4 linked regions of the Diceros bicornis minor genome follow. The protein of the gene in region 1 purifies or fractionates together with the protein of each later gene. This does not show direct contact. Links are inferred from orthologs where the notes say so. Each region holds a gene or a part of one and is shown on either strand. Other genes may lie near its edges. The genes, in order: EEF1A1, EEF2, EEF1G and TUBB.

Region 1 (7,749 bases):
GCATACCAATTGAGGCCAGGCGTTCTTCAGAAAGCCTGTAGAAATTCGGTTTTAACTAGATAACTGAGGGGCCAGCTCAGTGGTGTAGTGGTTAAGTTTGGCATGCTCTGCTTCAGTGGCCCGGGTTCTTGGTTTCAGATGCCGGGCACAGACCTACGCCACTCATCTGCCATGTTGTGACGGCGTCCCACATATCAAATAGAGGAAGATGGGCATGGATGCTAGCTCAGGGCCAATCTTCCTCACCAAAAAAAAGAAAAGAAAATAAATTAATTAATTTAAAAAAACAAAACTAGATAATTGAGTGTCCCCATATCTTTTCACATCATTGCACATTAGAACTGTGAGGCAGGTGCTAAGTGTGAGTAAGGAGCAGACCCATGCCACAGATGCCCTGCTGGCTGTCACAGACCTGGAAGCAGAAGAGCAAGCACTGAGTCCCAACTTTCTGACTCCAACCCCACCGCCATTTTCACTCGAGCAGGCTGCCTAGACCCGCTGGTACAAGTTAAGACTAACTTTCCTGTCAGATTACCTGGGTTCCAATGCTGCCCGGCTGGGCTTTAACGTACTCAAAAGAAAAGATCTCCAAGATATATTAAATGAAAAAAGCAAAGTGATATGTAGTACTTTACCATTTTGTGCAAAAAAGTGAAACTTTAAAAAAGAACGTATGTCTGTATTTGCTTATTACGCATAAATTATCAGTTGCCTACAGGTTCTCCATCAGTAAACAGTGGGATTACATTAAATATTGCAAATATTAGAACAGTGCTTGGCACAGCGAAGTAACATTATGCTTGGATTCTCAGTCCAAATAATTCCTTGGCTTAATTATATTTTAAAATACCCTTTACGGGGCTGGCCCAGTGGTGCAAGCGGTTAAGTGCGAGCACTCTGCTTCAGTGGCCCGGGGTTCGCAGGTTCGGATCCTGGGCGCGCACCTATGCACCGCTTGTCATGCCATGCTGTGGCAGCGTCCCATATAAAGTAGAGGAAGATAGGCACAGATGTTAGCTCACGGCCAATCTTCCTCAGCAAAAAAAGAGGAGGATTGGCATCGGATGTTAGCTCAGGGCTGATCTTCCTCAAACACAAAAAAAGAAAAAAAATACCTTTTAAATGATCATTTTCAATTGGCACAGGCAACAGGAAGGTGGCAAGCCACAGCAAAACGTAATTACCTAAAGCTGCTTTAAAGTAAGCCCAATAGCAGAGTGATTAGCCAATACCGAAAGATGCTTGGTGAATCACAATTAGAAACATCAAAGAACTATTACTGTTCGCCCTTTTACTAAGTTAATAACTAAAATCCTTTTTTAGAGTTTGCTACTCTAAATAGTATGAGCAACTTTAAGGAAAATCTTAAGCAAAATATGACCTTAGATTATGACCCCAAAACACATTTACAAGTCTCAACAATGTTACCGTTGCGTTTTAACATGTAAGTTAGTAAAAGGCATAATGTATCTGCTGTCAAGTCGGACAAAATGCGCTACGATTATGTTTAACACATAGGGCCTGGGGAAAGGGACTTTTTAAAAAGAAAATAACATCTGCTTCAGTGTTTTAGAGGCTACGCCGCGGTGACGAAACCGACCCCCCCAGCCACGCGGGGTTTTCTGTCTCCTCCCCGGCGCTTCCTTCCGCAGTCAGAGGACCGCCCAGAGGGACCTCCGGGGGGCGGCGGGGGCGCGGCGGCCGGGGCGCAGGTGTGGGCGCGGCGCGGGGCGCCCGACAGCAGCGCCGCCCCCGCCGCCGCCTGGTTCCGGCCCCGGCCCCGGCCGAGAGCAGAAGTGGGGGCCGGGCCCTGAGAAGAGGCTGTGACCCGTGTCCAACCCTTACTCACAATATGGCTCCAGACACGCCCCCCCGCCCCCGCCCAAGTCTCGGCGGCCCTCGCACCAGTCAGTGGTGCCCGGTAGGTTACTTACACAAAAATCAAAGACTATGTATAACTTTGCTCTTCCTTAGGTGCTGTGTTAAAGAATTCTCTAGAAGGTGTTTATAAAGTGTATACTCTCACCTGCAATCACCGGGCCTTGCGGAAAACTTGCCTATAATCTGGGATAGCTTTGGAGTCAAACTTCTTCAATTTTCCTTTCTTTCTGGGCATAATAATGAAAATTCAGCTGCCATTATTTGTTCCTGGAACACTTTCGGATCATTTCATTACTTTAATTATACTTGGAATGTTGGATTTCTTTTTTTCACCATCCAAAGCAGTCAAGGTGCAACTAGGAAAATGAAAAGGTGACATCTGAATCAGGACCTGTAGTTTTTATAAGCTCCTGTGGAAATGTTTGTGGTCATCTCTTAAAGAATTCCCGTGTCCGACATAGTGCTGAATATACACACACATCTACAAAGATTACTATTTAAATTATAGTAGGTCTATCTTTTCAAACAGAATAATTCACCTGAAAGCATTATCTCTCCAATTATCACAATTTTAGTATTATATAAAAGTACTTGAGTTTGCACTGTCACATTTTAATGAATTGTGCATATTTCACAGAGATCACTTTTTTCACTTTTATTTTACTGAACTGAAATTATCTTTGATACTTTTCCCTCTTACCAACATCCACTTTCATTTTGACTTTTTTTCCTTAGATATTAACTACAATTCTGGATTCCATGTAAAACTTTCAAATATTCAACTTGTAGTCTTCTTTAGTCTTTGCTTCCTTCCCTCGTGTCACTAAATAACCATTTCTTTACATTTTTAAAATTTTGCCATTCCTATTAGAAGGCATGAAAAATAATAAATCTGGCACTTTGATCTTAATCTGAAATAACACAGTGTGCAGTTTATATTTCTGTGATATACAAATATGGCTTATGTGGGAATCTAGTTCCAAAGAGAACAGTAATTAATATTTCCAAGGAAATAAGAGCAGAGGTATTTGCATTGGTCTATTGCTAGGAGTTGATTTTCACTGTTACTTCTTACATCTTTATCTTATTACACACATGGACTAGCATATCAAGATAATTTTATTCTACATGTATATAACTGGGTAAGGGCACTAGGAAAATGCAATGTGAAAGAAGAATTTGTGAGAAGAGAGAAATTAGAAATATAGACATAGAAAAGGCTTTTGTTGCTAGAAAAATATTAGTTATATGTATTTCTAGGGAAACTTTATATGGCCTCGTTTCTTTCATGAAAACTATCTCCAAGTTCAAATGAGAAGGATAGAAACCTAATGAAGAAATGGAAAAACCTGATTTTTAGAAGTTTATATGTACAAGGAATGGTTAAAAAAAAAAAGATAAAGGAAGGCTATTCTAGAAGGCTTCTTTCATTTAAAAAGAAAAAAAGGCATTTAGATTGTGAGAACTGAAAGAACTATATTCTACAATGAAGTAGTAAGCAGCATACAAGTTTGTCTTTAACTGCTTCCCAATTGTTTTATGTTTGTTTTCCTCTTCCAATTTGATTGTGGGTTCCTCTCCAAAAAGAAGTATTTCTTTTTCACATGCCACAGAGCTTCGCTTAGCACTGGACACTTAGTAGCTTCTCAAATATTTAATAGATTGCCTCGAGAAGTTGCAGAGATGTTCTATACGTGGAAGAAAAGACATAATGTTCTTGTAATTAGCTCATTAAAAATACACGTTCTTATTTCTTCAGAGGAGTATTTCTCAGTCTGCCCTGATTGTCAACCAAAAAGGCCTCATCAGATTTCGCCCTAGATTTATGCTAAAATTCAGTTACAATCAATAGGACAGAAAATGAAGCCATTTATTTAAATAGGATAGGCCATTTTTGAGAAGCAGTGATTTCACAGCAAGTGTTGGGGACAGGAAAACGCGGAGGATAATCTTGCTGAGGCTGTAGCTCTTAGCCTCTACATGAGATCATGTGGCAAGACTGAATTTGAAAAATTCTTTTTGGGTATTTCATGCGTGCAATCGAGTGTACAGTGGAAAAAAATGTACCACCAGGGTAGACACACACACTCAGGGTCTCTTTTGTAACAAAACTAGAGTTAGAAGTAAAGCAAACTGTAGGCATGAACTCTGTTCTGAACTGAAACACTGGGCATGTGGAGACCACACCGGGCGAACATGTGATGCGGCCTTCGATAAAAGCAGCTGGCTCTGAACGGAACCAGCCAAGAGGCCAGCCCGGGAGCACATCCGTCGGGCTCACAGCCTCCAAGCTGAACCGCGGGCGGCTCTCGGACCGGGCAGGGAGCCCCCGGGTCTCGGGCCTTGCACTCCCCTCAGGTCGGGCGGGGCACGGAGGGCGGAGGAAGCGGCTGGAGGGGCTTGTTCCGGACCCTCGAGAGGGCAGGACTGAGGACGGTAGGTGTATTGCGGGATGAAGGGACACCCCAATATCGATACCATCTTTGCAGTTAAACCAGGAATGGTACAGGAAGATTATGGACGTGCCCGCCAGCCGCCTTCTCGCCGCCGCACCCCGCGCTGGTGCTGAGAGTAACTCATACAAAAAGAGGACTCGCCTCTGCCTGGGGGAATCCCAGGGACCGTCGTTAAACTCCCACTAACCTAGAACTGAGGGCGCGTGCGTCCCGGTCCTCCCGGTGGCTCTCGTCGTCATCGGGGTCGAGAGGAGCATGCGCGAAGCGAGGTGTGCTCTTCAGCGGGTTGAGCGCACATGGCGCACGGTCCCCGAGAGTGGGGGAGGGGCTGCGAGTGCACTGGGCGGCGGCGCGGGGAGAGCTGGGAAAGCGCGTCGTGTGCTGGCCCCGCCCCCTTTTCCGAGGGGGGGAAGACCGTATATAAGCGCCGTGGTCAGCCTGAACGTTCTTTTTCGCAACGGGTTTGCCGCCAGAACACAGGTGAGCGCGAGTGTGGCCTCCGGGCCGGGCCTGCGCGGCGGGCCCCGGCCTCGCGTGCCTCTCGGCCGCCGTTCCGCGGAGCCCCCTCACGCGGCTCCTGACCTCGAACTTGGGGCTGGACGTGGTGCGGTTCGCGGCCTGGGCTTTTCCGGAAGGCCCTGCGCCTCGTGCTGGGGTTGAGGCCTGGCTCGGGCGCAGCGCCCGCCGCGTGCGGGGCCCCTGCTGCCCTCGGGTGAGGTCCCCGGCCGCTTGAAGTTGAGAAGACACCACGGTGTCCCCCGCGGGTGGAGTGGCCGAGGCCGGGCCGGATCCCGCCGTGTGGGCTCGTCCGCGTCGTCGGGTTGCCGGGCGCGGGCCGCCGCGAGGCGCGGAGGGCGGGGCCGCTCGTGCGGGCGCGGGCGGGGGCGGAGGGAGCCCGGGTGCGGCGGGGCGCGCCGGCTGCGCGGCACCAGTTGCGTGCGCGGAAAGATGGCCGCTCAGGCCCTGGCGGCGCTCAAAATGGAGGACGCGGGCCCGGCGGGCGTGAGTCACCACACAAAGGGCCGGCGCCGTGCCCCGGCTCCCGGCCGCCGCCCCCGCGGTCCTCGGCCGGGGGGAGGGGCGGCGTGGTCGGCTCCGCCGGGGCTGGAGGCGAGAGCGGGGCCAGTGGGGCGCTGCTGTAATGCAACTTGGAGTTTGCCCTTTTGAGTTTGGATCGTAGCTTTTTTCAAGCCTTTGGGACGGTGACTTAAAGTTTATTTTTTCTTTCAATTTAGGTGTCGTGAAAACCACCGCTGAATCTAAGCCACAATGGGAAAGGAAAAGACTCATATCAACATCGTGGTCATTGGACACGTGGACTCGGGCAAGTCGACTACTACTGGCCATCTGATCTACAAATGTGGTGGGATCGACAAAAGAACCATCGAAAAATTCGAGAAGGAGGCTGCGGAGGTAGGTATCACTAACAGGTGAATGAGAAGTCTACTGCTGAAGACGTTAAATGAAGATTTTGAAAAATTATTGTCACTAGCCTAGATATTTACGTCACACTGGATAAAAACGGTATAACCTAATGTTTGCTGTTGAGTCAGTTTTGTAACCATGTTTTGAGAATAAGGGAAAGCCACTTAGATTTAGCCATTGTGAAGAGGAATCGAGCATTTCTAGCTAGATAAGTGCGGTAAGGAATTTCAAGCTGGCATTTGATCGTGTCTTAGTTAGCAAGTAACCATTTTTAATCCAACCCTAACAGATGGGAAAGGGCTCCTTCAAGTATGCCTGGGTCTTGGATAAACTGAAAGCTGAACGTGAGCGTGGTATCACCATTGATATCTCCCTGTGGAAGTTTGAGACCAGCAAGTATTATGTGACCATCATTGATGCCCCGGGACACAGAGACTTTATCAAAAACATGATTACAGGCACATCTCAGGTTTGTAGTTTTAATAACTATCGGCAGTAACTCTTGGTTTGTCTTATACATTGAAAACATGGTGTTGTCTTCCTTTTGAAGAGCTTTAACAAGGTATGGCCTTGTTTTCTTTAAAAGGCTGACTGTGCTGTCCTGATTGTTGCTGCTGGTGTTGGTGAATTTGAAGCAGGTATCTCCAAGAACGGGCAGACCCGTGAGCATGCCCTTCTGGCTTACACACTGGGTGTGAAACAACTAATCGTTGGTGTTAACAAAATGGATTCCACTGAGCCACCCTACAGCCAGAAGAGATATGAGGAAATTGTTAAGGAAGTCAGCACCTACATTAAGAAAATTGGCTACAACCCCGACACAGTTGCATTTGTGCCAATTTCTGGTTGGAATGGTGACAACATGCTCGAGCCAAGTGCTAACGTAAGTGGCTTTCAAAGCAGTTGAAAAACTCTGAAAGGGGCAAGTTTCATGGTAACACTAATTGACGTTGTGTTGCAGATGCCTTGGTTCAAGGGATGGAAAGTCACCCGTAAAGATGGTAATGCCAGTGGAACCACACTGCTTGAAGCTCTGGATTGCATCCTGCCACCAACTCGTCCAACTGACAAGCCCTTGCGTCTGCCCCTCCAGGACGTCTACAAAATTGGTGGTAAGTTGAAACGTTACTGTCAGTGTAATTTGCATGGGTTGCTACTTGGTATGTGGTGTGTTTATGATACTGTGTTGTAAACATTTTAGGTATTGGTACTGTTCCTGTGGGCCGAGTGGAGACTGGTGTTCTCAAGCCTGGCATGGTGGTCACCTTTGCTCCAGTCAATGTTACAACTGAAGTGAAGTCTGTTGAAATGCATCATGAAGCATTGAGTGAAGCTCTTCCTGGGGACAATGTGGGCTTCAATGTTAAGAACGTGTCTGTCAAAGATGTTCGTCGTGGCAATGTGGCTGGTGACAGCAAAAATGATCCACCAATGGAAGCAGCTGGCTTCACAGCTCAGGTAACACTTTAAAGTGACACATTCTCATCTCTTGCCAGAACTTTAACTCTCTTTGAGACACACTGAAATGCAAATCTTTTCTCCAAGGTCATTATCCTGAACCATCCAGGCCAAATCAGTGCTGGCTATGCACCTGTGCTGGATTGTCATACAGCTCACATTGCTTGCAAGTTTGCTGAGCTGAAGGAGAAGATTGATCGTCGTTCTGGAAAGAAGCTGGAAGATGGCCCAAAATTCTTGAAATCTGGTGATGCTGCCATCGTTGATATGGTTCCTGGCAAGCCCATGTGTGTTGAGAGCTTCTCTGACTATCCTCCTCTGGGTAAGGATGACTGACTGACCAGTGCACTTAGGAAGTTTTACTAAAGATGGAAAATAATTGCCTTTGTCTTACCAAGAGTTTCTAATAGTAATGTAAAATTTGTTTTAATAGGCCGTTTTGCTGTTCGTGACATGAGACAGACAGTTGCTGTGGGTGTCATCAAAGCAGTGGACAAGAAGGCAGCTGGAGCTGGCAAGGTCACCAAGT
Region 2 (7,940 bases), on another chromosome or scaffold:
CTAGAGCAAGGGGGTCACAAACTACGGCCTGGGGGCAGTATCTGCCCTGCTGCCTGCTTTGGCATGCCCCGTGAGCTAAGAACGGTCTTTACATTTTTAAGTGGTTGCAGAAAAAAAACAAATCAAAAGAAGCATCGTTGTTCTAAGAATGATCTTTACATTTTTTAAGTGGTTGGGGAAAAAACATCAAAAGAAGCATCATTGTTCGTGTACATGAAAATTGTATGAAATTCAAATGTTAGCGTCCGTAAGTAAATAAAGTTTTATTGGAACACAACTACGCCTATTTATGTGTGTCTGTGGCTGCTTGGTGCTATAAAGGCAGAGTTGAGGAGCTGTGATTGAAACTGTGTGGCCTGAAAAGCGGAAATATTTTCTACTTGGCCCTTTAAAAAGTTAGCTGACTTTTGTCCTGGCCCATCCATCTAAAGAGCTCCCTCTTCTTTTTTTTACACTCCCTCCCTGTGTTACAGGTAGTGGTACAGAGAGCCACACTGCATTGTTTCTTCACTGTGTCTCCCACCCCAGGACCCTTGCACTTGCTGTTCCCTCTCCCTGGAATGCCTCCTTCACTTTTGCTCCTTGGATGCATTCTCATCTCTCAGGTAATAGTTTAAGAATTACCTCCTGGGGCCGGCCCGGTGGTGCAAGTGGTTAAGTGCGCGTGCTCCACTGCGGCGGCCCAGGGTTCGCTGGTTCGGATCCCGGGCGCGCACCGACGCACTGCTTGTCAAGCCATGCTGTGACGGCATCCCATATAAAGTGGAGGAAGATGGGCGTGGATGTTAGCCCAGGGCCAGTCTTCCTCAGCAAAAAAAGAGAATTGGCAGATGTTAGCATAGGCCTGATCTCCTCACAAAAAAAAAAAAAAAAGAATCACCTCCTCCGGGCAGCCCTCCCTGACCCCCCAGGCTGGATCATAGCCCTCCCTGTTCTACCCTTTCCTTCGCTCATTCTCTCTCTCCTTCCTAGCATAATTTGAAAGGTTCAACTTGTGCAAACATTTGATTGACTCTTTCCTCCACCAGCCCATCAGCTCCCCGAGGGCAGGGCTTCTGTGTTTCCACAGGCTCCCGGAAACATTTGCTGGACCAATGAGCACCGGGTCTGAGGGATGTGAGGAATTCCAGGCGGAAGGGTTGAGCTGGGCTGCAAAGCCGATGGGTTTATTTGCAGGCGGGGAGGGGCGGGGCCTGGTGGAAAGTCCCCCAGCTGGGAGGTCCCAGGGGCAGTTTACCAGCAAAGAAATGCAAAACTGTTTGCCCAGGGCTCTAACCTAGTCCCTAAGGGCGTGCTGGGAGCCCTCGAACTACCCTCACCAGCTTTTCCCCGGACCCCCTGTTCTGACGATACAGCCTCACCAGATCTCCCTAAATCCCGTTTGCTCAACCATCCTTGAGAGGACCATGACACCGCTTCCTGACGTTATTTGTGGGAGAATTCACTGCTCCACTGCCCAGGGCATCTAGTGGGACCATCTAACGAAGACCTGTCTGCAGTCATCGGCCCCTGAAACCAAGCAAAAATCAGTAATACTGGTCCTGTCTTTATTTCAAATCTGGATGCTCTATTCCTCAGGGACTTTTGGCATTCTTCGGGATTTAAAAAAAAAAATGGTATTTAAATATTATTATCACGATGACCGAGTTTTTCGGAGCCTTCTTAACGCCTCACTCTCCTCACCCCAGACCCAGAATGTAGTAGGTACTAATCAATGCGTGTAGCAGGAATGGTTGCAATAAAATCTAATATTTCTGTCCCATTGTAGGAGCTGTTTTAGTCCGCTAGGGCCGCCACAGCAAATACCACAGCCTGGGCGGCTTAAACAACAGACATTGATTGTCTTGCGGTTCTGGGGGCCAGAAGTCTGGGATCAAGGTGCCGGCAGGGCTGGTTTATCTGGAGGCTGGGGGATGGAGGTCTTCTCTCTGTGTTTCCACATGATCTTTGCTCTGGGCTTGTCTGTGTCTTCATCTTACCAATACTGCTCGTGTCCTATTGGATTAGGACACGAGCCATGATGACCAGAGTCCCACCCTAATGACCTCATTTTAACTTAACTGCCTCTTTAAAAACCCTACCTCCACATATAGTCACATTCTGAGGTCCTGGGTACTGGGACTTCAATATATGAATTTTAGGGGACACAATTCAGCCCGTAACAGGAGCAAACTCTTAAATAGGGAATACTGTATGCCAGGTATCAATTTCTTTAAGTCTCACAAGAGCCCCATAATAAAATAGGTTCTGTTATTCAGTATTTTACATGCAGAGTCAGAGGCTCAGAGAGGTTAAGTAACACACCCAAGGTCAAACAGCCAGTGAGGGCAGAAGCAGAACTTAAACTCAAGATGTCTTGCTTTGGTTAACCAAATCTGAGCTACGTCTAGGAAATAGTAGTGTGGCAGAATTGCTCTTTGATTAAACCATGCCTTTTTAAAAAAATTGTGGCAAAATAGACATAACATAAAATTCACCATCGTAACCATTTTAAGTGCACAGCTCAGCGGCATGAAGCACATTCGCATTGTTGTGCAACCATCCCCACCATCCGTCTCCAGAACTTTCCATCTCCCCAAACTGAGACTCTGTCCCCATGAAACACTGACTCCCGTCCCCTCCCCCAGCCCCTGGCCCCACCATCCACTTTCTGTCTCTGTGGATGTGACTCCTCTAGGAGCCTCCTGTGAGGGGACCACACAGTGTCTGTCCTTCTGTGTCTGGCTCATGTCACTGAGTGTCATGTCCTCAAGGTCCATCCATATTGGAGCAGGTGTCAGAATCTCCTTCCTTTTCAAGGCTGAGTAATATTCCATTGTATGTCTATGCTACCACTAAACCATGCCTTTTGAGTCGCTTGGTTTGGCTCTAATTAGCTGTGTGACTTTGGGCAAATCTTAACTTCTCTGGGCTTCAATTTCCTCCAGCTTAAACGAGCTCACCAAAAGCCCGGGGTTGGGGGGAGAGGATTAACTGAATTAATTGATTTAAAAGTCGGTGGCTGGTATCTAATGAGCGCCCCATAAGCATCAAAGGGCAGATCCAACGGGCTGCAGTGGTGGCCGCTGGCCAGCAGGGGCCGCTGCCGCCGCTTCCGCGCCCTCCCCGCGCCGCGGGGGGGGGGGGGCGGGCGCATGCGCAGCCGAGCCTCCCTGCAGAGGTAACTTGTTTCTCGAGGTTCTTCCCCGCCCTTTACCCTCGCCTGTATTTATGACTGCAGACCTTGAACCCGGCTGTGGCTGCTTCTGCTCTCTGCTGAAGCCCCAGCCCCCCACCCAGGCTTCTGCTAAACGTGGGTCTGGAGATAGCAGTGGGGAGAGGTCCTCTGCCAGTATCTGGCCCCATCCCTGCTGCCGTGGGGCTGAAACACCTTTTAAGCTTAAAAAAAAAATTATGAAAAATGGGAAAGTGGATACCCATCTGCTGAAAACGCGTCCTCCACACGGCGCATGCGCTTGCCTTGTAAAATTAACATAAAACTTGTCACGAACACAGGTGTAGGTGTTTAAAGACCCCCCCCCCCGATGGAGCCCGGGGAACCGATATCTGCTGCCTGCCACTCCCTCTGCCGTTCTGAGCCTCGATCATTCCATAGATGTTTATTGAGGAGCTCCTCCCTGCCTCAGTTTCCCCCCTGGGAACGTGGGGGTGATAGCAATCATTGATTAAAGGAAATCAGGGCTGTGACAGAGCTTTAGAAAGCAACATGCGAAAGCATTTGCGGGAGGGAGGAGCGCACAGGCTTATTTTAGAGTCCAGACGCGAATTTGCATCGCTTTCCGCAGACGCGCATCTCCTCTGCTCCCAGCGCAGGAAGAGCCCCGTCGTCTGTTTCCTTTCGACAAGAGCGAGTTTAGAGGAAGCTTTACCAAAGGGGGTTTACTCGCGCTAATGAGAATATCATTCATTGATGCAAGAAATACTTACGTACCAGGCATGGGGCTGGACCCGTTACAAAGGAAAAGGTTGCTGAGTTGAATGCCAATTCTCTCCCTCGAGCCAAAGATCGGAAACACAACTGTTTCTTAGGGTCAGATTAGGACACGAATGCAAAACAGTCTTCCTGCGCCTCCCCCTGGAGACGAAATGAATAGAAAAAGATTGCGCAGGGGAGGAAGCGCTTAGCCCCGTGCCCGAGACACGGCAAACCGGGCCCTGAAGTAAATGCTTTATTAATAGCAGTGATAGCTAATTAAAATAGCTGAGGTGTATTGAGAACTGTGTCAGGCGCGGCGCTAATCCCTTTATGTGTGTTTAGTTAATTTAACTCTCTCCCCAAATAGTGAGGGAGTACTGATTATCCACATTGTGCGGACGGGGAAACTGAGGCAGAGAACACGTAAAGTGGTGGAGCTCGCCTAGCAAGGTGCTTTTTTAATTGCTAAATCCACACCTATAGCAATGCCTGGTATGGTCGATGCTCAATCCGTCTTTCTGGAGTAAATGATTAATACCTGCTTTTAAAAAGCTTTTTATTTTGAAATCATTACAGACAGGTAGTTGCAAAAAGGGGACAGAGAAGTCCCGAGTACCCTTCCCCCAGCTTCCCCCCATGGTATCATGTTCCATAACAATATCAAAACCAAAAGACTGGGATAATCCACAACCTATTCACGTGGAAATTTGCTTTCAATAGAAGTGCTGGGCGTTTTGCGAGCTAATCTAGTTGCTTTGATGAATATGCTCAGCTAAAACGGCGCTCTTCGCTTTGTGCCCCTGAGTCCCCGAGGCGTGTACCCACCTCGGGGCAGACCACCGCCCCGAGCAAACCCAGGCGGGGAACGCGGATCCTAGAGCATCCACGCCGGCGCCCAAGGGGTTAACCCGAGAACCACGTCCCTGCGCCTGCGCGCGGCGTCGCTTCGCCCCGCCCCCGCAGCGCGGTCAGATGATCCGCCCAACCGGCGTCGGCCTATAAAAAGGCGGGGTGTTGACGTCAGCGTTCTCTTCCGCCGTCGTCGCCGCCATCGTCGGCGCGGCTCGCTTCGCTCGGATCTGCCTGGGAGAATCCTCCGCCATCCGCCACCATGGTGAGCGACGCCGCCCGGCTGGCGGCCTGGGACGGCGGCGGGGCCTCCGCGGGGTTCGGCGCTGCCGAGCCTGGAGCGCTGGGGCCGCCCGGCTCGAGAGAAGACATGGCGGCGGCGGCGGGGCCGGCGGGCCCGGGGCTGGGGAAGCGGCCGCCGCCATGTCTGCGCGCCGCGCTGCCCGCCGAGCCCCTTCTCCGCTTCCGGGGACGCCGCCGCCTCGCGGGACCCCCGGCCCGGCTGGAGCGGAGGCGGAGGCGGGGAGCGGGGTGTGTGATGATGTGGCAGACGCTGTAATGGCGGCGTCGCGGGGCGAGCGGGGAGACCGGGGGCCGCCTTATGTAATCCGCGGGCCGCGATTTTGAGATCGGTTTACTGTCGGGGGCCGTGGGCGCCGGCGAGGTGACAAAACGAGGGAAGCCTGCCCTGTAAAGCCCCCCGACTCCTCCTAATCTTGGTCTGGCTCCTTGGCCTTCCTTTGCCTCCCGATCGTCAACAGCTGACCCCGGAGCCACGAGGGGGGCTTGCGCGTGTGCGCGCTGCGCAGGCCCCCCCCCCCCCCCCCCCCCGATCGGGGGTGACATTTAGGACTCTCATGCGGTGGGTGGCTCTGTCTCAACCCCAGCCAGAGAGGTGACCTTGGACTCTAACGAGGTCCTGTGTTTGGGGGAAACCTGGGGAGGTTTTGGGGGGCTTCATCCCTCCCGTATCCTTTAAGTGGACCCCGTGACCTGCCATATGGGTGCCCCACCTGAGGGAAATCTGTTGTCACTCTTGGAGAGTCACACGGAAGCCCCTATTCCGAGTTGTCATTTCTAAGTGACAGCTGGAACCTGGCCTTTCAGAGATGAGGGCGGGTGGTATTAAAGGAGTGTCACGGAGAGGCGGGGGCGTTGGGGCTGCCCCAGGACCAGCCCACTCCTGGCCGCGGGCCTGGCATACCCTATCGATCGCCGCGCCAGTGCCAAGCCTGGTTCCTGGACACAGGGCCGGCCTGAGCCTCCCCTCCCCCCTGGCGCAGGTGAACTTCACCGTCGACCAGATCCGGGCCATCATGGACAAGAAGGCCAACATCCGGAACATGTCCGTCATCGCCCACGTGGACCACGGCAAGTCCACGCTGACCGACTCCCTGGTGTGCAAGGCGGGCATCATCGCCTCCGCCCGCGCCGGGGAGACCCGCTTCACGGACACCCGGAAGGACGAGCAGGAGCGGTGCATCACCATCAAGTCGACGTGAGCAAGCCCGGCGTCCTCTGGACTGGGGAGGGAGGAGGGGAGGTGGCTGTGGGGAGGCTGGAGCGGTCCCCGGGGGTGGGGAGACACACAGCAGACACCGTCGCTCTCCGGGGAGCCTCTTGGGAGAGGATGAGTCAGGCACCCGGGGGCTGGCGTTTTGAGCTGTGAGGGAGGGTGCAGTTCAGCCTAATGGGAGTCAGGAAGCTGTGAGGCTAGTGGAGGCGCAGTGATGGGGAATATTGGGGGGTGGGGGCCTTGGAGAGGAAGGGGTTTCACCGGTGGTTCCTCTTCCCGGGGCCAAGGGACCGGTGGCAGTGTCTGGAGAGGTCTGGGAGGAAGCCACTGGGCCGTAAAGATGCTGAGCATCCTTTGCGGAAGTGTCCTGGGTCCAGGTGTCAGTAGGGCGAGAACCCAAAGCAGTGACTGTAATTGTCAGTTACCTTTGGTGGTTAAGTCGTGAGGTTCTTCTGGGTTTTCTGGTCTGAGTCGTTTCACCTGGGCTGGAGGGAGAGGAACTGGGGAGGGCTGGGTTGGTGAAGGATGGTCTCAGGTTTGTGGTCTCACCTCACCTGATGACGTAGTTAACTTTTGGAATCAGAGGTGTGAACCTGGGAGGGATCAGGGCGGAGGCTCGGTAGGTGGGCTCGGGGGAGCCGGCCTCTGTGGCCGGTAGCAGGGAGGGGGCGTCCCTGGCAGAGGGTGCTGCCTGGGCAGAGTCCTCTGGGTGGGCTGGCTGCTGTGTGGGCAGTCTGAGGTCTGTCTCCGGGGTGAGTAATTAACGCAGGGGGAGGGACTGGGTTGCAGGTCTGCTCCGGGCTGCGGGCCTGACTCTTCGCTGGGTCTCAGCCTCCCTGAGGGGTGAAAAGCCCCCATCCTGACTCCCCTGGGTCAGGAACTCGGCCGACCCCAGGGGTCCTAGGAAGGGTAGTTAACCAAGCTGAGCTGTGGCTTCCCCCCAGCTAAACTGTGCGCTCTCCTCAGGGCCATTTCCCTCTTCTACGAGCTCTCGGAGAACGACCTGAACTTCATCAAGCAGAGCAAGGATGGCTCTGGCTTCCTCATCAACCTCATTGACTCCCCCGGGCACGTGGACTTCTCCTCGGAGGTGACAGCCGCCCTGCGCGTCACCGACGGGGCGTTGGTGGTGGTGGACTGCGTGTCAGGTAAGCAGCGGGCCCCCCGCGCGCCCGGGCCCTGGGCTGTCCCCACCCTGGCTGACAGCCACCCGTCCCGCCAGGCGTGTGCGTGCAGACGGAGACGGTGCTGCGGCAGGCCATCGCCGAGCGCATCAAGCCGGTGCTGATGATGAACAAGATGGACCGGGCGCTGCTCGAGCTGCAGCTGGAGCCCGAGGAGCTCTACCAGACCTTCCAGCGCATCGTGGAGAACGTGAACGTCATCATCTCCACCTACGGCGAGGGCGAGAGCGGCCCCATGGGCAACATCATGGTAGGTCGGTCGCCCAGCCAGCTTGCCCCGTCTCCGCTGCTGTTCTGGCACCTCCTGCGTCTGCTGGGTGGGCTGCGACCTTCCACGGGGGCTTTTCAGAGCTGGAGGTGGGTTTGCCGGGGACATGGGGTGACGGCAGGGGATGGAGTGTTTATGAAAAGGACTTCACGTAGCACTTGGCCTTTCAGGGAGGTGGCACAGCATCTGTTTAGGGCTTGTGGGGCC
Region 3 (7,504 bases), on another chromosome or scaffold:
ATTTAAAAGGATCAAACTTATCATTCAGAAAGTAAAGAACATTCAACAGCAAAAAAAGCCTAACAATTTCAGAATAGACAGTCCTTTAAATTAAACTCAGATTCGTGAAAAACTCATTTACCATTTTTTAGTTTGCCAAGATCAGAGAGAAAATAATCCCTTTCCCCCCCAATAAAGGAACTAAGGTAGCTTTTCAGTTACTGAGTCCCAGCCCATCCCTCCCCACCCCTTCAATGGAGTCAGATTCTAGGATCATTCCAAATGTATCACGAACTGAGCTCTCTCAGTGTTAAATTTCTTCATGGTGCAGTCTGGCTTCATTCCCAATGTAATAACCATAGCCCTATATCTTTCGATTCTTGAAGGAATCTTAGAGGTCATCTGATCTAACCACTCCCCCACCATTTGGTATATCCTTCCTACAGCAGAAATCGCTCTCTCCTCTGACCATGCATGACAGACACCACATCCACTGGGTCTGACAAAGAACCCAGATACCATCAACAGCCCAGCGCTCCAAACTTTCACCCCGAAGATTAGGTCTTCTCATTACCCAGATACTATTGGTACCTTTCTCAACCTATTTCTTAGTCCCCATCACTCAGGAGCTGATGTAGTCCCTGCCCATGGCTTCTCCCCAAGTTTCAAGGCTCACCTGCTTGTTGTGGTGCATGATGCCCAAGGTGGGGAACACCCAGGTACTGGCTGGGGGCACTATGTCACTATCAGCAAAGCTCACCCACTGGACCACCTGGGCTGCTGCCTCTGGAGTACTTCCCCGCAGCTCCTCATTGCTCACTGCAGAGGCAGAACAGAAAGGTCAAAACTTTGGAGTCATGCCAACACCAATCCAGGTCCCTGAAAATTCCTCTCCGTGTCCACTGTGGCTCACCCGCACCCTCTCCTACACCCCTCACCTCCAGACCCTCCCATTTCCACATCCACTGCAAATTACCATAGTAAGCAATGGCATTGCTCTCAAACACACAGAATCCATCATCACCCTCAAATGCTGGAACCTGGGGACAAAGCAGACAAAAGATAAGTAAAAAACACAGTCATCTCTCACTAGCCAATCCCAGGAACTGCACTGTTGTGGATACAAGTTTTTATATAAGGCTGACAACTCTTACTAACCAAACTCATCATACTATCTGAAACTCAGGAACCAAAAATACTTGAATAACTTGGTACCCCTTACAATCTGAACTCACACAAGAAACCCAAAAGATTTAGCTATCATCAAACATTTGTATAAAACTCCTCAATCAAATAAAGCAAAAGGCCAGAAGCCAAGTCTTCTATTGCTGTCTATATTATTCAAAGTATTATAGCACTCTACACACTGTACTTGGTCTCTTCTACTCTTAGCACAGTGATCTATCTCTGTAAGCCCCTTGGGGGAAGAATCCTGCTCAGTATATTTGCACTGAAAACAGTCAAAACTCATTCTCTCTCATAGAAACACAAAGTAAGCCTGTGAATTTTATAAAGTCACTGAATAGCACTGTATTATTTCTAACTACATGTGACTCTACAATTATCTCCAAACAAAAGTTTTTTTAAATCACCAAAATGTGAAAAAAAAAAAAAGATAACATGGAAAGCTCCCTTTTAAAAGATGGAGGCCATCTTCAAGGTGACAGAACCTTATGGCTCCTCGGGTTCTCAGGACCCAAGGCCCTTCTCCACTTCCCTACTCACCTTGCCGGCAGGAAATTTACGGAGAAACTCAGGGGTGCGGTTGGTTTGGCCAAAGTGGAAGTGGGGTGGTGCGGAGAGCACGCGGATCTGAGCCCCGCTGTACTGAGCGGCAATGAGGGCCTTGAAGGCCCTCCAGTTTTCAGGATATGTGTACAGGGTCTGTGCCAGAAAGAGGAGGCAAAGAAATATTAGTGTGAGTAGAAGGGTTCCAGTCCTAAGTGTCACCTCCCAGAATGACTTCCCTGAGTGATCCCAACCTGTTCAACCCACTCCTTTACTCCTCTGGTGAAGTGAATTCCTTAGTACCTGTCATGTGTAATCAGAGCCCTCCGAAATACCAGAGGACAGAACGACACATCAACTGCTAAATAAAGCTTGTTGACAGATCTGACCTTCCATAAGGACATCTCCAGAAGGATTCTCTTCCCCTCAAATCTATCTCCAAGAAATCCAGAAGTCCTAGGTCCCAAGGACTCCATCTGCCGCCAAGCATCCGCCCCTCCCTTCCCCGAGCCCTGGTTTCATTCATTGATGGTTTCCCGGTGCCTGCTACTCTACTGCTGAGCCGCTCACTCCTTCCTGAGCATCACTCTCGTCTCCAAGGCACACACACTCCGACCACGACATTCCCAAATTCCCCCCAAAATAGCCACGGAGATCTCCAACGGCATCTCCTCTTCCTAAATCAACTCGATCTCCCTAAAAAGCCTTTCTTTCCTGTCACGCGCACCATCACTCCCGTCCCGTCCCGCAGTGAGTTCCCTGGTGTTGCCTTTTCCCCTTCTATTAACCTGACCAGCGGGGTCCGACTGGTCTGACTCCACCGTCCGGAGGTTCCTCTCGCTCCCAAACCCCCCTGATGGATGACCCTTAACTGAGGCCAGCCCACAAAGACCCTCCTCTTCACCCCGTCCCTGCTGTTGTCCCACAAAACGGTCGCAAAAGTTCTGTCAACCTGCCCGGATCCCACGTCTCGAGGCGGCAATGAACCCGCACCCCTTGCTCTGGCCCCAGACGGTCAGGATCCGGCATGTTTTTTCTCCTCTGCCCCAGACCCTTCCACCTCTTTGGCCTCCGAAAGCCCCAGCCTCAGTTCCCCTCCGGAGCCTTGGAAGCCCTGCTCTCCAAGAGTACGGTCTCTAGATCCTGGGTCAGCCCCCCATTCGGCTCCAGAACTCCTCTGACGCCGGCTGGCCCCACTCGGGCAGAGGATGGCGTCGGATAGGGTGACTGGATCGCTAGAGCCGGCAAACTTACCCCAGCCGCCATGGTGATTCCGCAGAGAAAGGGGGTGGGGATCTCGGCGCTGCCGCAAAGTAAGCCGTCAGGGAGGGAAGGGAGGGGGGAAGGGAGAGCCGCGGAGAGACAGCAGCCGGAAAGCGAGGACGGCATAGAAGGCACACGCACGACAGTTCGGTATTCCGCGGCGACAGGCTTAGAAAAAGAAGGGGCGGGGCCTGCTGGCCTGCGCGGAAACGGCTCGCGCCTGCGCAGTGGGGCTCCTGGCTGGCCCGCCCCTCAGATACGGCCAATCGGAGTCCCGAGGTGGAGATAGAGGGCGCGGAGGGAGGGGAAACTGTGAGAAGTAGCTGGCAAGGCGCCCTTTGGCGGCTACGTGGCACAGCTGCCAGCCCTGTGCGGCGCCGGTCCCCGAGGAGGCGTTCTCTTGCGGCCTGCCGGGCCCGCAGTGTGATGCCTAGGGACGAGTGACTTGATGGCACGTCCTGCCAAGCCCCTAACACCATGATTGTGTGACACTCGCTGGAGCAGAAACAACTCCTGCGGAGGTGGCGGCTCGCCAAATTCCTTTTGTTCCCGCTGTGGTTTTCTAGCGCAGAGGACGTGTATCTAACCGGAGCCCAAGTCTGAAACCCTCTGTAAAAGTGGGGTTTTCTCCCATAAGCCACCTTGCAGCGCCTCGCTGTTACTACTTCGAGAAGAAGCGGCGCTAGTCCTGGAGCCTGCGGCAGAGGAGGGAGGGGCCCAAGGGAGAGCCCAGCCGCATCCCTTCCACCTGTCACCCTGGGGGGAGGCTGACAATTTAAGACAGATTCTGATGGGTTGCCCTTTACCCATGTTCAGGTTTGAAAATCTTTTCTCCAATTTAAGAACAGGATGAATTCTCCTGTTAAGTGAGAGAATGAAGCCCCTGAACCCAAATTTCAGGCCCTGTCACCATTCATAAATCTGGGAAGTAAGGTCAGTGTGGAGGCAGACTTGGTTCCTCTCACAGGTGCTACTCAACCCACCCACCCAGTACACCACAGTTCCAGAACTGAGTGGGCTCCAGGAGCCTGACTCACACGGTCCTAGGCACTCCCTGCAGTTGTGATAAATGGTACGCAGGACAGAAATGGGCTGCTGAGGTGGAGGAGCAGGGCGAGACCTGCTGTACTGGCCAGAGAAGGCACCTCTGAGAAGGTTGCATTACTTCTGGGGAGGGGAAGTACTGGGTGGGAAGAGGGTTATTACCGGGTAGAAATTAGAGGCAACTGTAGTGTTTATTAAACTAGCAGCTTTATTGCCCTTTAGGGCCCTGTCTTCACTTTAGGAGATTTCTAAGTGCTTGAGGGAGGAAAACCTGTAAGAAATGATGGAGATCAGGGAACAGGCCTTGGGCATCCCGGAGTGGAGTCACGGTGAGAGTGTGGTCAGCCTGGGAGGCAGCCGCCACAAAGGTCAGAAGCGGCTCAGCCTCTGGCCTCTGTTCAGCACTGCTCAGTCCTCTCAGCTCCTGGGTCACCCGAGCCTCAGTCGCCAGCCACTCTGCTCCTGTGCCAGCGCCACCTCCACCTCCTTCCTTGGTTTGCTGCTGCAAGCGTCTCCGGGCACGCCGCCGCCCCTGCCACACTCGGTGCCACAAGGCACAGCGCCAGCTCACTGAGGAGAGCAACACCCCCTTCCCTGTCTCACCTTGGGACCCTTCTCGGGCCACCTCAGGTCCTTGGGGCCCCTGCTCTGCCAGCGCTACATGGCTTGACTGCCCCTCTTCTCCCGTGGCTAGATGCTTGCTTGTCAGGAGCAGCTCCCCTGGCTGCCCAGGGCTCCGCATGGCCCAGTCCTGCACCGTCTCGCCAACCTCTACAACCATTTCTTCCACCCCATCTTCGCGGTGGTCCCCTGCACATTCCTGCTGCTCCTTCTTCCCCTCCTCACAGCTTTTTTCCTCTCCATCTAGTTTCAATCTTTTGCTTGTCCCTCCCTGGGGAGACTCCCCAGTTCCACCTCCCTCTGACCGCAGTCTCTTGGTTCCCTGTTCTATATGGCACCCCAATGCTTCTCTTAACACCTGGACCAGGGCAGCAGTGAGCTGGGTGAAGGGAGCAGCAGGTAAGGGGATGGGTGTTGCAGACAGCAGGGCACTAGGGGAACTGGGCTGCAGGAGGGGGAGCAGCCCCCAGTCCCGACCCCGGGAGGAACGGCGCTGGTACTGGAGGCTTCGGCAATAATTGGCTGCTGCTCGGCAGCAGTTCTGTAGCCGCCCGGCCACCCGGCTGGTCACATTGGCTGCCACATTGTGGCTCAGGTCAAAGGGGTCCTGGAGATTCATGGGGCCAAGGCGCAGACCCTCCCAGAGATTAGAGGGCAGGCCCCCTGCCACAGGCAGTGCCTGACCCTCCCGCAGGGACAGCAGTGAGCCACGAAGATCCCAGCAAGAGACGCAGGAGAAGAACTGGGCTAGCAGGGAACCTGGAGCAAGAGGAAAACCAGGGAAAAGGGCCACAGCTGAGATAAGCCCTGCAGCAGAGCCACTCCCTCAGCAGGACTTTCTTTTTCCCTTCCAAGGGGCTCAGAAGAGTGCCCAGAAGCCAGGCTCCTCTGATCCCTACACACAAGAGGTCAAGCCTCTCTCCCTGTGCCCCCAGCCACGTCCTGCCCCAGATGCTGCTCCTTCCCCTTGCTAACAGTGTAACCTTGGGCAAGCCACTTAATTACTCCAAGGCATGGTTTCTTCATCCGTCAAATGGCAATAATATTAGCTCTCACACGAGGTTGCTGTGAGAGCCATGCCTGGCACACAGTAACTGTGGGAGGTATGTTTCCTACTATTGTGATTAACATCATTTATTAGTCCTCTACCAGGCTCCCCAGACTCACTCAGGGGCTCCTTATTGGTGCTGGGCTCCAGTCTCGAGGCATCCCTGGGGAAGCTACAGTCCCAGCCATCAACCTCTACCTGTTCACCCTCACCTGTGAAAGTAAAAAAGGTGAGAGTCAGTCCAGAAGCAGGAAAATGGGGATGGAAACGAGGGTGATAGCAGAGACATCTGATTCCCAGGGTAGCTTAGTGTATCTAAGCGAGGTGAAGAAGAGAGAGAAAGCTAACAAGATCGAAAGTGGAGGCTGGGCTGCTGTACCTGCTTTCTGGGTGAGCTGGGCCACAGTGGGCAACACAGGAGGGTCCCTGGTCTGAAGGAAATAGATCACGAGCAAGGTCAGGGCGTAGTTATTGAGAAGGGGGCCACTCCCTGGGTAAATAATCAATAATTCCAGTTAGATTAGAGGTGCCTCCGATCCCCTCCTTGGCGGTTTTCTCAACCCCGGTTCCTGTACCTGCCTGTCTTTCTCTCCCTGAATCCCTGCCTTTGCCCTGACACCAACCCAGCCCCAAGTCTGTCTTGATTCATTCTCACCTGCCAGCCCTCGACCCTGAGCCCAGCAGCGGAGGGTGTACACGAGGGGCCGTACTCGTCCGTCCAGCTCAGAGCAGAGACTCAGGAAGCGGGAGTTATGCAGGGCCAGCCTGGGACAAAGGGAGACAAGGGTGTGAGGACTTGGGAACCCTCTGACCTATCATCCCCAGCTCTCACTCCAGACTTGCGCACTGGGGGCCAGCTGAAATAAGGCCAAAAGAGGGTTTCCAAAGTGTTTGCTGACACACTGGTCTTGTGAGAGGATGTACAAAACGCCAAATGTGTTTGGGAAACACTACATCCTAAGAATGTCTCGGACATTCACAGAGCATGTTATTATAAGGCTGCTCAGAGCCTTTAGTATGCAAAGCAACAAAGACAGGAAGGGAGGGAGAATGGGAGGACAGGAGAAAGAGAAGGAAAGAGGCAGTAGGGGAGGAGGGGGAAGGAAGAAACCTGTGCATTTAACTTAGCATTTCCCAAACATATTCAACCATGGAACTCTTTTCTAAATCTCTTAAAAACAGTATTCTAAGAAACACACTTTACGAACATTGACGTGGAAGCCAGAAAGGAGATGAGTGGCAGAAAGGGGGATGGGACCAAACAAGGATACCCTTGAGGCTCAGGAGATGCAGGACAGTCCCACACCAGGGCTCCCTCCTCAGCCACCCCAGAATGCTCAGCTGGCCTTCCCCAACCACCCTCTTAAACAAAGGTACCGGTTACTGAGGGAGACGTCACCGTGGAGACCTGAAGGCCGATGGCAGAACTTGACCACAGGACGTCGGGCAGAGGGCACTGTTTGGACTCGGTACACTCCAGGGACACAGCCCCGAAGAATGGATCCCACCAGCTCCAGCATGGCTACGCCCTCTGTTTTCTCCCCGTTCAGGGCCTCCGTTCGTTCCAGAGCCTTCCTCGGGTCCGCCTCGCCCCGGTCCTCCTGCAGTGGTGAGGCTGGAGGCAGGGACTGGGGAGAGGCGAGGGTCTCAGAGGCCAAAGCAGAGTCCGGAGTCCGTGGTGCCAGGGAGGAAGATGGGATTTCAAAGTCCAGGGCTTCTGAATCTTGGGGAGAGGTTGGAGGCTGCGAGTCTGGAGGGGAGGCTGGGGTGCAGGCCAGGGCTTGAGGATCCACTGGGGACGCAAGGGCTGAGTCCAAGGAT
Region 4 (7,901 bases), on another chromosome or scaffold:
GACGTGGGAAGGGCACCATGTTGACTGCCAGCTTGCGGAGGTCAGCATTGAGCTGGCCAGGGAAGCGGAGGCAGGTGGTGACTCCGCTCATGGTGGCTGAGACGAGATGGTTCAGGTCCCCGTAGGTTGGTGTGGTCAGCTTGAGGGTGCGGAAGCAGATGTCATAAAGGGCCTCGTTGTCAATGCAGTAGGTCTCATCGGTGTTCTCTACCAACTGATGGACGGAGAGGGTGGCGTTGTAGGGCTCAACCACAGTGTCAGACACTTTGGGTGAGGGCACCACACTGAAGGTGTTCATGATGCGGTCAGGATACTCTTCTCGGATCTTGCTGATGAGCAAGGTGCCCATTCCAGAGCCTGTGCCCCCGCCCAGCGAGTGGGTCAGCTGGAAGCCCTGCAGGCAGTCACAGCTCTCTGCCTCCTTCCGAACCACGTCCAGGACCGAGTCAACCAGCTCGGCCCCCTCTGTATAGTGGCCCTTGGCCCAGTTGTTGCCTGCCCCGGACTGACCTGGAATGGGGTCAGGAGGCAAGCTTGATTAGTAAAGTGTGGAAGATGCAAGACCGTATTTCCACCTTCCAACTTTTGGAATAATGCCCTTAGATGTATCTTCTGTCTCGCTCACCTGTGATACATGCCCCCCATAATTACCATCTAGGGCACTCCCAACTTCACACTCCATTACAGATTTCAGAACACAGCCCTGAACAAGCTCTCCCATACAACAATCGTCTCCAATCTCTTGCTGTCTCCTTGCACCCAAATAAAGTGAATATGACGGTATCTACTAATGCGTATAACTCACCGAACACAAAGTTGTCTGGTCTGAAGATCTGGCCAAAAGGACCTGAGCGAACAGAGTCCATGGTCCCGGGTTCCAGATCCACCAAGATAGCACGAGGAACATATTTGCCACCTACAGGGAAGAAAGTAGAAGAGTGAAAAGTGGCAGGCAGGAATAAGGTAAACAAATCGGGGCTGGGTTATAAACCAACGTCACCTCAATAAAAATTAAAAAATTAAAAAAAAAAATAAATCGGGGCTGGCAGACAGTCGGGGCCCAAACTTCTGGTTCCAGGCGCTGCCACCAGGTGGCAGCAGAGCCAGTCTTTCGCCAAGATGGTGGGGAATCAAATCAAGTTCTCAAAAACAAAAAGATGCATTCATCCAAAAGGGTAAAGGGGTCTCCAGGGATGAAGAGCAACCCCAGAGAAGTGGGAGAGGAGATGGGACCCGAGCTTCCCGGGCTCCTGCCCTCACCTGTGGCTTCATTGTAGTACACGGAGATGCGGTCGAGCTGCAGATCGCTGTCCCCGTGGTAGGTACCGGTGGGGTCGATGCCATGTTCATCACTGATCACCTCCCAGAACTGTCGGGGGAGAGCAATGAACCCTCAATGGCTCAGGTCCCAACCAATTATGCCTCCTCGCAACCACTGTAATTCCAGACACGCCTGTGGTAGGTCTTGTTCCAGGGCCCGGCATCCCCTCTATCTGCCTGCCCCACCCTTCGCCTAGACACCGCACCCCCGGGAAAGCCGCAGCTTCCACTACTTGGGATGAGATGATGTGCGGCTGGGCGTGCCCGGGGATAGCAGGAACCGGGGTGAGAGGATGGAGGCGGCAGAGTAGACTGGATAAGAGCCCCTCCCCGCCCCCCCCCACGCTGGGCACCGCCCCTCCACGCAGCGCACAAAGAGCCAGGGAGACGCAGAAAGGAGCCGCTGCAGCAGTCGACCACCTCCCGCCCCCCGCCACGTGACTGCGGCGCACGCGCACGCCGAGCAGCCAACAAAGAGGCGCCGAGCGTGGGCGGGGCCGAGGCGCGAATTCCGCGCGCCAGGGGCGGGGCTCGGCTCGGGCTCGCGCGCCCCCGGCCGGCCCTCAGGGCCGCATTGTCCCGGCGCGCCAAGGGGCGCCCGGGCCCCGCCCTTCTGCTACAACGTAGCAGCCGCACTTCCTCCCGCCCCTCCCCCGCTACACTGTAACCGCGCGCAAAAGAAAAAAAAAATCCCCCCTTGGCCTCGAATTTTATTCCTTCGCTTTTCCCCCCTTGCTTTAAATGAGGATCACCTTCCTTTCTCCCATCCTTTAGTCGTAAGGGACCCTTTAAAGAAAACGACCCCCTCCTTTTCTCCCGCCCTCTTTCTCATCTGTTCACTCCCTAAAAGGGTCTCTTTTAAGGGGAAATCAAAGAAAGTAAAATTAATCAAGCACATGTTAGCCTTCCATCCACGAAAAACTACCGGACCGCCCCTCGGGGATCGCGGGCGCGCGGAGAGCCCCGATCTTTTGTGAATGGTAACGCGTAGTGCAACCCAGTGGCCCACCGCGTCCCCCACCTTGGGATCCCAGCTCTCTGCAGCTGCCCGCCCAGCCTCGTCCCTTCCTCCTCCGGCTTAGCCACATAAAGCCCCGCCAAGGGAGATGCACCCGGGGAAAACCTCGCCTCGCTTTGTCTCGGACTGTTTCCGCATGTCCCTCCCTCCCCAGTCTTCAGACCGTTAGGAGATCCTCTTTAAGTAAAAGCTTGCAGAACCTCGGTCTTCCCGCCCCCTAAATCTGAAGGGTGCTTTTAATGGCTTCCCCAAAATGAGCCTGCCAAAAAAAAATCATTCCCCATTTTCTTAAGAGCAAATTCTAGCAACAAATGGGTATTATATATATAAAACTTTTTTTGGCAAAGCTTGGCTAAAGATGAAGAGTGCAAATGTCCTACAACCACTCTTTATCATTTGTCCGGGTTTTTTCCTTCGGAAAAAGAAATATAGTTAAAAGAGGTTTAAAATCCTTACCTTGGCACCGATCTGGTTGCCACATTGACCGGCCTGGATGTGCACGATTTCCCTCATGTTTAAAATTTATTTTAATTCTTTTCCTCGCCTCAAGGTGTGTACGGGGCAAGAAAACGATATGTGGGGTTTTTTTTCTCTGCTGCTGGCCGCAGGCTGGAAGGATGGGACGTGCCCCGGAGGCTGGAGCAGCGAGGTCCGAACGCGGCGGCAGGAAGGTTCTGAGAGGGAGAAAGGAGAGGGGAGGGCGCAGGAGGGAAGGCTGGCAGGGCGGGGCGCGCTTGCGCCGGGGTGGGAAGGCGGGAGAACGCGCTCCGCGCCGCGGTGGGGAGACAAAGCTTCATCGAGGCTGGCCCTGATTAGTCGATGCTGGTCATGTATCAGACGTCCATTGGTCTCTGCGCGAGTGGACGAACGCAGTCAGCTCTGGGAGTTGTAGTCCTCTATTGTTGTCCACGCTGCAAAATGAAGGGACGAATGGGTGGGTACCGGGTTTTTGGTTTTGGACTTTTTTTGTATTTTATGAAAAAATGACCTTGCGTACGATTTCTTTCCTCTATGCCTGAGTTTTTTGTACAAAAAGAGCGTCGTTTTCGGGGATACAGGATTTGGGACCCCTGGAGTGCCAGGCGTTGGAAGGAGTGGGCACGCCCTGAAAGCTCCCCGCGGCGGTAGCTCTTGGGAAGACAGGACTGCTTAGCTCAGCGAAAACTGGGGAGAAATGCGGCACCCTGCTCTGCTATCTAACAGCTGGTCCTTTGGTGACCCAAGGCATGAACTCCAGTAAGCCGCCGCTCCCCCAGATACTCAGGAAGAAGGAGGGGATTGCCCTCCTATTTCTTTGGGAGTTTTCTAATGATAATATTTTGAAAGAGAAACAAAATTGCAACAGGGGCTTTTCAGGATAGAGATGTAATTGTCCGGAGGTTACGTTCAGAGAATAAGTTGAATAGTTTAGAGAAGCTGATATCTGGGATCTGTGAAGCCAGAAGTTTCCTTCCGTGTAGGGGATCTGGGCCTTAGAGCAGCGTTGAAGACACTGTGGTCTTGTCAAACAGAACTATGGGGTGGGATGCCTGATAGAATTTCAGTGTCTTTCCAGCCTTTTTCAGTTCGCTGATTTCACTGACCAGCTGGCTGGCCACTGCAACCTTTCAAGAACCCCAGGATTGAACAAAAGGGGGATAGGGAGGGAGATGGATGGGAGAAAATTGGACGGGCTCAAGTCAGAGCCGCATGTTTCTTCTCAGGCATTAATTCATTTGATAGATACTAAGTGTCCACCAAACCAGGAGCTAGGGATACAAAAACGATTAAAAATTCTCTCCCTGGCCTACCAGGATCTTGCAGTTTCGTGAGAAGTGTATAAACAATGGAGTGTGGTAATACCATAATACAGGACATGTGATATCAAGGTCATCACTGATAATTCACATTGGATTCAACACACATTTCTCAGTCACCTAAATAAAAGAATATCAAGTTGTGTAAGACCCCTCTACCCACTCAAAATAAAATGTTTTATGTTTTAGGGCATGGTCACAATGAAAGTAGTTATTTTGTGGCAGTGGAGAGAGTTCAGAATTTAGAATGAGCGGACGTTTCAATTTCTCTACCTTACATTAGCTGTAGGAACCTAAGCAAGTCATTCACCTTCGCAGAGCTTCAATTCCCTCTGTAAAATCTACTTCTGCCTATTTGATTGCTGTGGTCAGGCTGAAGTGAGATAAAATGCAAAAGGACTTCCTAAATCATACACATGTCAAATTGTTACTATCCTCTTCTGTCTTAGTATGAGATGATGAAATAAATGGTTTTATCATTCTTCTTTAACCCCTTGAAAGACCTCGGTCAGCCTTTAAGATGGTTAGCAAAATAGTTCTTTCTGTTCGCCTAGGGATCTTTGCTTTAGGAAAATGACCTCAAAATGTCTATCAGGGATGTATTCTCAAGGAGGAAATGACATGACTTCTACTAAACAAGCCAAATCAAAAAGAAATGAACTTCCATTGCAATGAGGAGTCCTCAAGCGCCACGCCTACGGGCAGTTCTCCAAACTGCAGCCTCCGGCCACGACTGCAACCCGCAACCCGTTTTCACTTCTCATGAGTCAGCGGACACCATGTCTGGGAGGACTGAGGAAGGGCGCTCTGGCCGCACTAGACGCATCGGGCGACGACTATGGTAAGTCCCTCTATCCGCGCCGGCAACCAGACTCTGTGGTCGCGGTTTGGAAATCTGCGCGGGAAGTGGGCGGTGGGTGGTGAGGCGGTAGTGGGTTGTCCCTCGCAACTGCCCAATCGGAGTGCGCGATTCTGAGCGCGGAGGGCGGCCTCTGCTTACCGCCTCGCACAACGGATCTCAAGCCCCTGAGAGAAGCCGCCCCTTTGAGCGGTGAGGGGGCTGGGCGGGGATGGGGGCGGGGCTATGGATGTGCGTCCGCGTTGGATATTTGATCAATCGGCCTGCCGCAGGACTGTGAAAGACAGCGGCGGGAGCCAATCAGAGAATCGGCTCCCTCCGGGCGCGAGCAGTCGCGCCACCGGCCCGCGGCCGTTACTGGTGGCGCGCGCGGGGACTCAAAGTAGGTGAGTTCTGGGGGGCCTTGCCCACAGCTCCCCGGGTGCCATCTTGGTTCTCCTGGAGGGCGGGAGGGGCGTGCCTTGGGTGCGACTGGGCGGAGGAGATTTGGAAGTTTGCTTCTCGGATTATAATATTCATCTTTACTTGACGCCCCTCCCCGAGTTTAGGTATGAAGACACAGGGAGACGTTAGGCCAGGAGGGAACCCACTGGGATGGGGATCAAAGATGGTGGCCCATTGGATTGGAGCCAAGGGTCATGGGCACCCGCTGAGTTCGCCAGTCTTAATGACGGAGTTGGTACTATCTCCAAGGAGGCGTCCCACTTTCCCTTCCTGTCAACAGTTTCCCTCTAGGGTGGCATCTTGCTAAGTGAGTTCCGTCCCTGCTATTTTGAGTTTTCATCTTTCATTTGTTCTTTCATCAGGAGGGCAGGGTGAATTTTATGTTTCGTTCATGAATATATCCTGAATACTTCGAACGGTACCAGGTGCACAATGACTACTCTTGAAGGAATATGATGGACCCCAGGGGAAAAGACACTTCTGCTGGTCCAGTTCTCGAAGGGATGTGTGAAGGCAGAAAGGGAAAGTAACGGTTACAATATGGTGAGAAGTGTTAGGATAGTTTCAAGTCCTTTCACCATTGTGGAACACGTACGATACACCAGGAACACCAGAAAGCAGGCAAGACTCCAGGAAGGGCTTTGCTAAGGAAGTGACATTTGAACTGAATTGTAAAAGATGGGTAGGAGTTAGACCAGAAAACTAGGAGCAAAGGGCCAAGGAGCTGGATAAGGCATGCAGATGTGGGGGACAACAGGAACAGTGTGTTCAGAGAGTAGGGAGAAGATTCATGTGGTTGAACCATAGGCTTGAGGGGAGGCATACATTGCAGGACATGAAGTTCAGATCATAGAGGGTCTTGCTAAGGAGTTTAGATTTTATGTTATCCTGTGGGCATGGAAAGCCATCAAAGAATATTAAACAGGGGCTGGCCCGGTAGCATAGTGGTTAAGGTGCTCTACTTCGGTGGCCCTGGGTTTGTGGGTTCGGATCCCGGGTGCGGACATACGCACTGCTCATCAAGCCATGCTGTGGCAGGCGTCCCACAAATAAAATAGAGGAAGATTGGCACAGATGTTAGCTCAGGGACCATCTTCCTCAAGCATGAAGAGAAAGATTGGCAACAGATGTTAGCTCAGGGCCAATCTTCCTCACCAAAAAAATATGTGTATGTATTAAACAGGGGAGGGACATGTGGGTGATCTTGGGCATTTTCCTTAACCCATCTATGTTGCAGTTTCTTTATCTGAGAAATAGAAGTTAATAATAACACTTTGTAGGGTTCTTGTGATGATTAAATGAGTCAGTCCATGCAAAGTAACTAGAACAGTGCTTGACACGTAGCAAGCATCTATATATGTCAGCTATTATGATTCTTTGCAGTTAGTCTGATCACACTGAGATGGTCTGGTAAAGGGTAAAAAGCATGGGCTTTGCAGCCAGAAGCACCTTTATTCCTGTCCTTTCCACTTACCTGCTGTTATCTGCAGCAAATTACTTAATATTTTAGCCTTAGATTCCTAAATGCCTGCCTCATATCATTACCATGCCTGACACGTAACACCATGCCTGACAGATAGTTGATGCTTGGCAAAAGTTAGCTCCCTTTAAAATGGTGTATTTCAAACTATGGGTTGCAACCCAATAGTGGATAGTGAAATCAATTTAGTGGGTTGCAAATCAGCATTTGAAAAATAGAGAATAGGGCTGGCCCCGTGGCGTAGCAGGTAAGTGTGCTGGCTCTGCTTCTGGCGGCCCAGGTTCGGATCTCAGGCACACACCAACGCACCGCTTGTCAGGCCATGCTGTGGCGGCGTCCCATATAAAGTGGAGGAAGATAGGCACAGATGTTAGCCCAGGGCCAGTCTTCCTCAGCAAAAACAGGAGGATTGGCATGGATGTTAGCTCAGGGCTGATCTTCCTCACACACAAAAAACAAAAAATTAAAAAAATTAAAAATAGAGAACAGAAAAAAATAGAATGAAGCTATCAGTGTGTTGTATATAGTAAGGCTAGGCAGTTTTTCTCAAAACATTTGTCTGTATAAATAAGCACGTGTGTTTGTATATATTTGGGACCTTATGATATTTATTTCTTATTCTGTATCGTGGTCAAAAATATTTTTTAAATGCTTCAGAAAGATAACCACGGAATGATCGGCGGAAAGAGAAGCATGAACCTCCATAACTATCCAGGTTTACCCCGGTTATCAGTCTTCTCTCTGAGGCTGTGTGTGTGAACCAATAATAGAGATGATGATGTGTTTCCTTCCCAGATTATGGAGGACACTCAGGCTATTGACTGGGAGGCTGAAGAAGAGGAGGAGACAGAGAGACCCAGTGAATCCTTGGGGTGTAACTTGGCGCCCGTAGGGCGACTGCATATCTTCAGTAGTGCCTATGGACCAGAAAAAGGTCAGAGGGTATTGGATGCTGAAGTACTGGTATAGGCCTCTTATTTTTGT

Evidence for each region.
Region 2: the proteins of EEF1A1 (region 1) and EEF2 fractionate together in Homo sapiens (co-fractionation; 3 studies listed by BioGRID). This does not show direct contact. The link is inferred for Diceros bicornis minor from reciprocal best matches to the Homo sapiens genes EEF1A1 and EEF2.
Region 3: the proteins of EEF1A1 (region 1) and EEF1G purify together in Homo sapiens (affinity purification with mass spectrometry; 5 studies listed by BioGRID and IntAct, counting the BioPlex papers as one, with this or other methods). This does not show direct contact. The link is inferred for Diceros bicornis minor from reciprocal best matches to the Homo sapiens genes EEF1A1 and EEF1G.
Region 4: the proteins of EEF1A1 (region 1) and TUBB fractionate together in Homo sapiens (co-fractionation; 3 studies listed by BioGRID). This does not show direct contact. The link is inferred for Diceros bicornis minor from reciprocal best matches to the Homo sapiens genes EEF1A1 and TUBB.

Annotation. Positions count from the first base shown.
Region 1 is NC_080762.1:56,999,087-57,006,835, forward strand, and holds the start of EEF1A1 (elongation factor 1-alpha 1), read left to right. Parts: upstream 1-4,747; 5' UTR 4,748-4,817; intron 4,818-5,572; 5' UTR 5,573-5,606; coding exon 5,607-5,750; intron 5,751-6,051; coding exon 6,052-6,231; intron 6,232-6,348; coding exon 6,349-6,645; intron 6,646-6,723; coding exon 6,724-6,874; intron 6,875-6,963; coding exon 6,964-7,220; intron 7,221-7,307; coding exon 7,308-7,542; intron 7,543-7,653; coding exon 7,654-7,749. UniProt on the Homo sapiens protein: Translation elongation factor that catalyzes the GTP-dependent binding of aminoacyl-tRNA (aa-tRNA) to the A-site of ribosomes during the elongation phase of protein synthesis.
Region 2 is NW_026691553.1:3,036,136-3,044,075, reverse strand, and holds the start of EEF2 (elongation factor 2), read left to right. Parts: upstream 1-4,927; 5' UTR 4,928-5,027; coding exon 5,028-5,030; intron 5,031-6,048; coding exon 6,049-6,263; intron 6,264-7,247; coding exon 7,248-7,429; intron 7,430-7,503; coding exon 7,504-7,715; intron 7,716-7,940. UniProt on the Homo sapiens protein: Catalyzes the GTP-dependent ribosomal translocation step during translation elongation.
Region 3 is NC_080770.1:10,513,722-10,521,225, reverse strand, and holds the start of EEF1G (elongation factor 1-gamma), read right to left. Parts: upstream 3,003-7,504; 5' UTR 2,974-3,002; coding exon 2,962-2,973; intron 1,864-2,961; coding exon 1,705-1,863; intron 1,020-1,704; coding exon 956-1,019; intron 799-955; coding exon 656-798; intron 1-655. Other genes in the region: TUT1 (speckle targeted PIP5K1A-regulated poly(A) polymerase), read right to left, coding at 4,247-5,394, 5,803-5,895, 6,063-6,173, 6,339-6,448, 7,061-7,504. UniProt on the Homo sapiens protein: Probably plays a role in anchoring the complex to other cellular components.
Region 4 is NC_080753.1:34,399,953-34,407,853, forward strand, and holds the start of TUBB (tubulin beta chain), read right to left. Parts: upstream 3,013-7,901; 5' UTR 2,852-3,012; coding exon 2,795-2,851; intron 1,370-2,794; coding exon 1,261-1,369; intron 917-1,260; coding exon 806-916; intron 511-805; coding exon 1-510. Other genes in the region: MDC1 (mediator of DNA damage checkpoint protein 1), read left to right, coding at 5,978-5,980, 7,713-7,851. UniProt on the Homo sapiens protein: Tubulin is the major constituent of microtubules, a cylinder consisting of laterally associated linear protofilaments composed of alpha- and beta-tubulin heterodimers.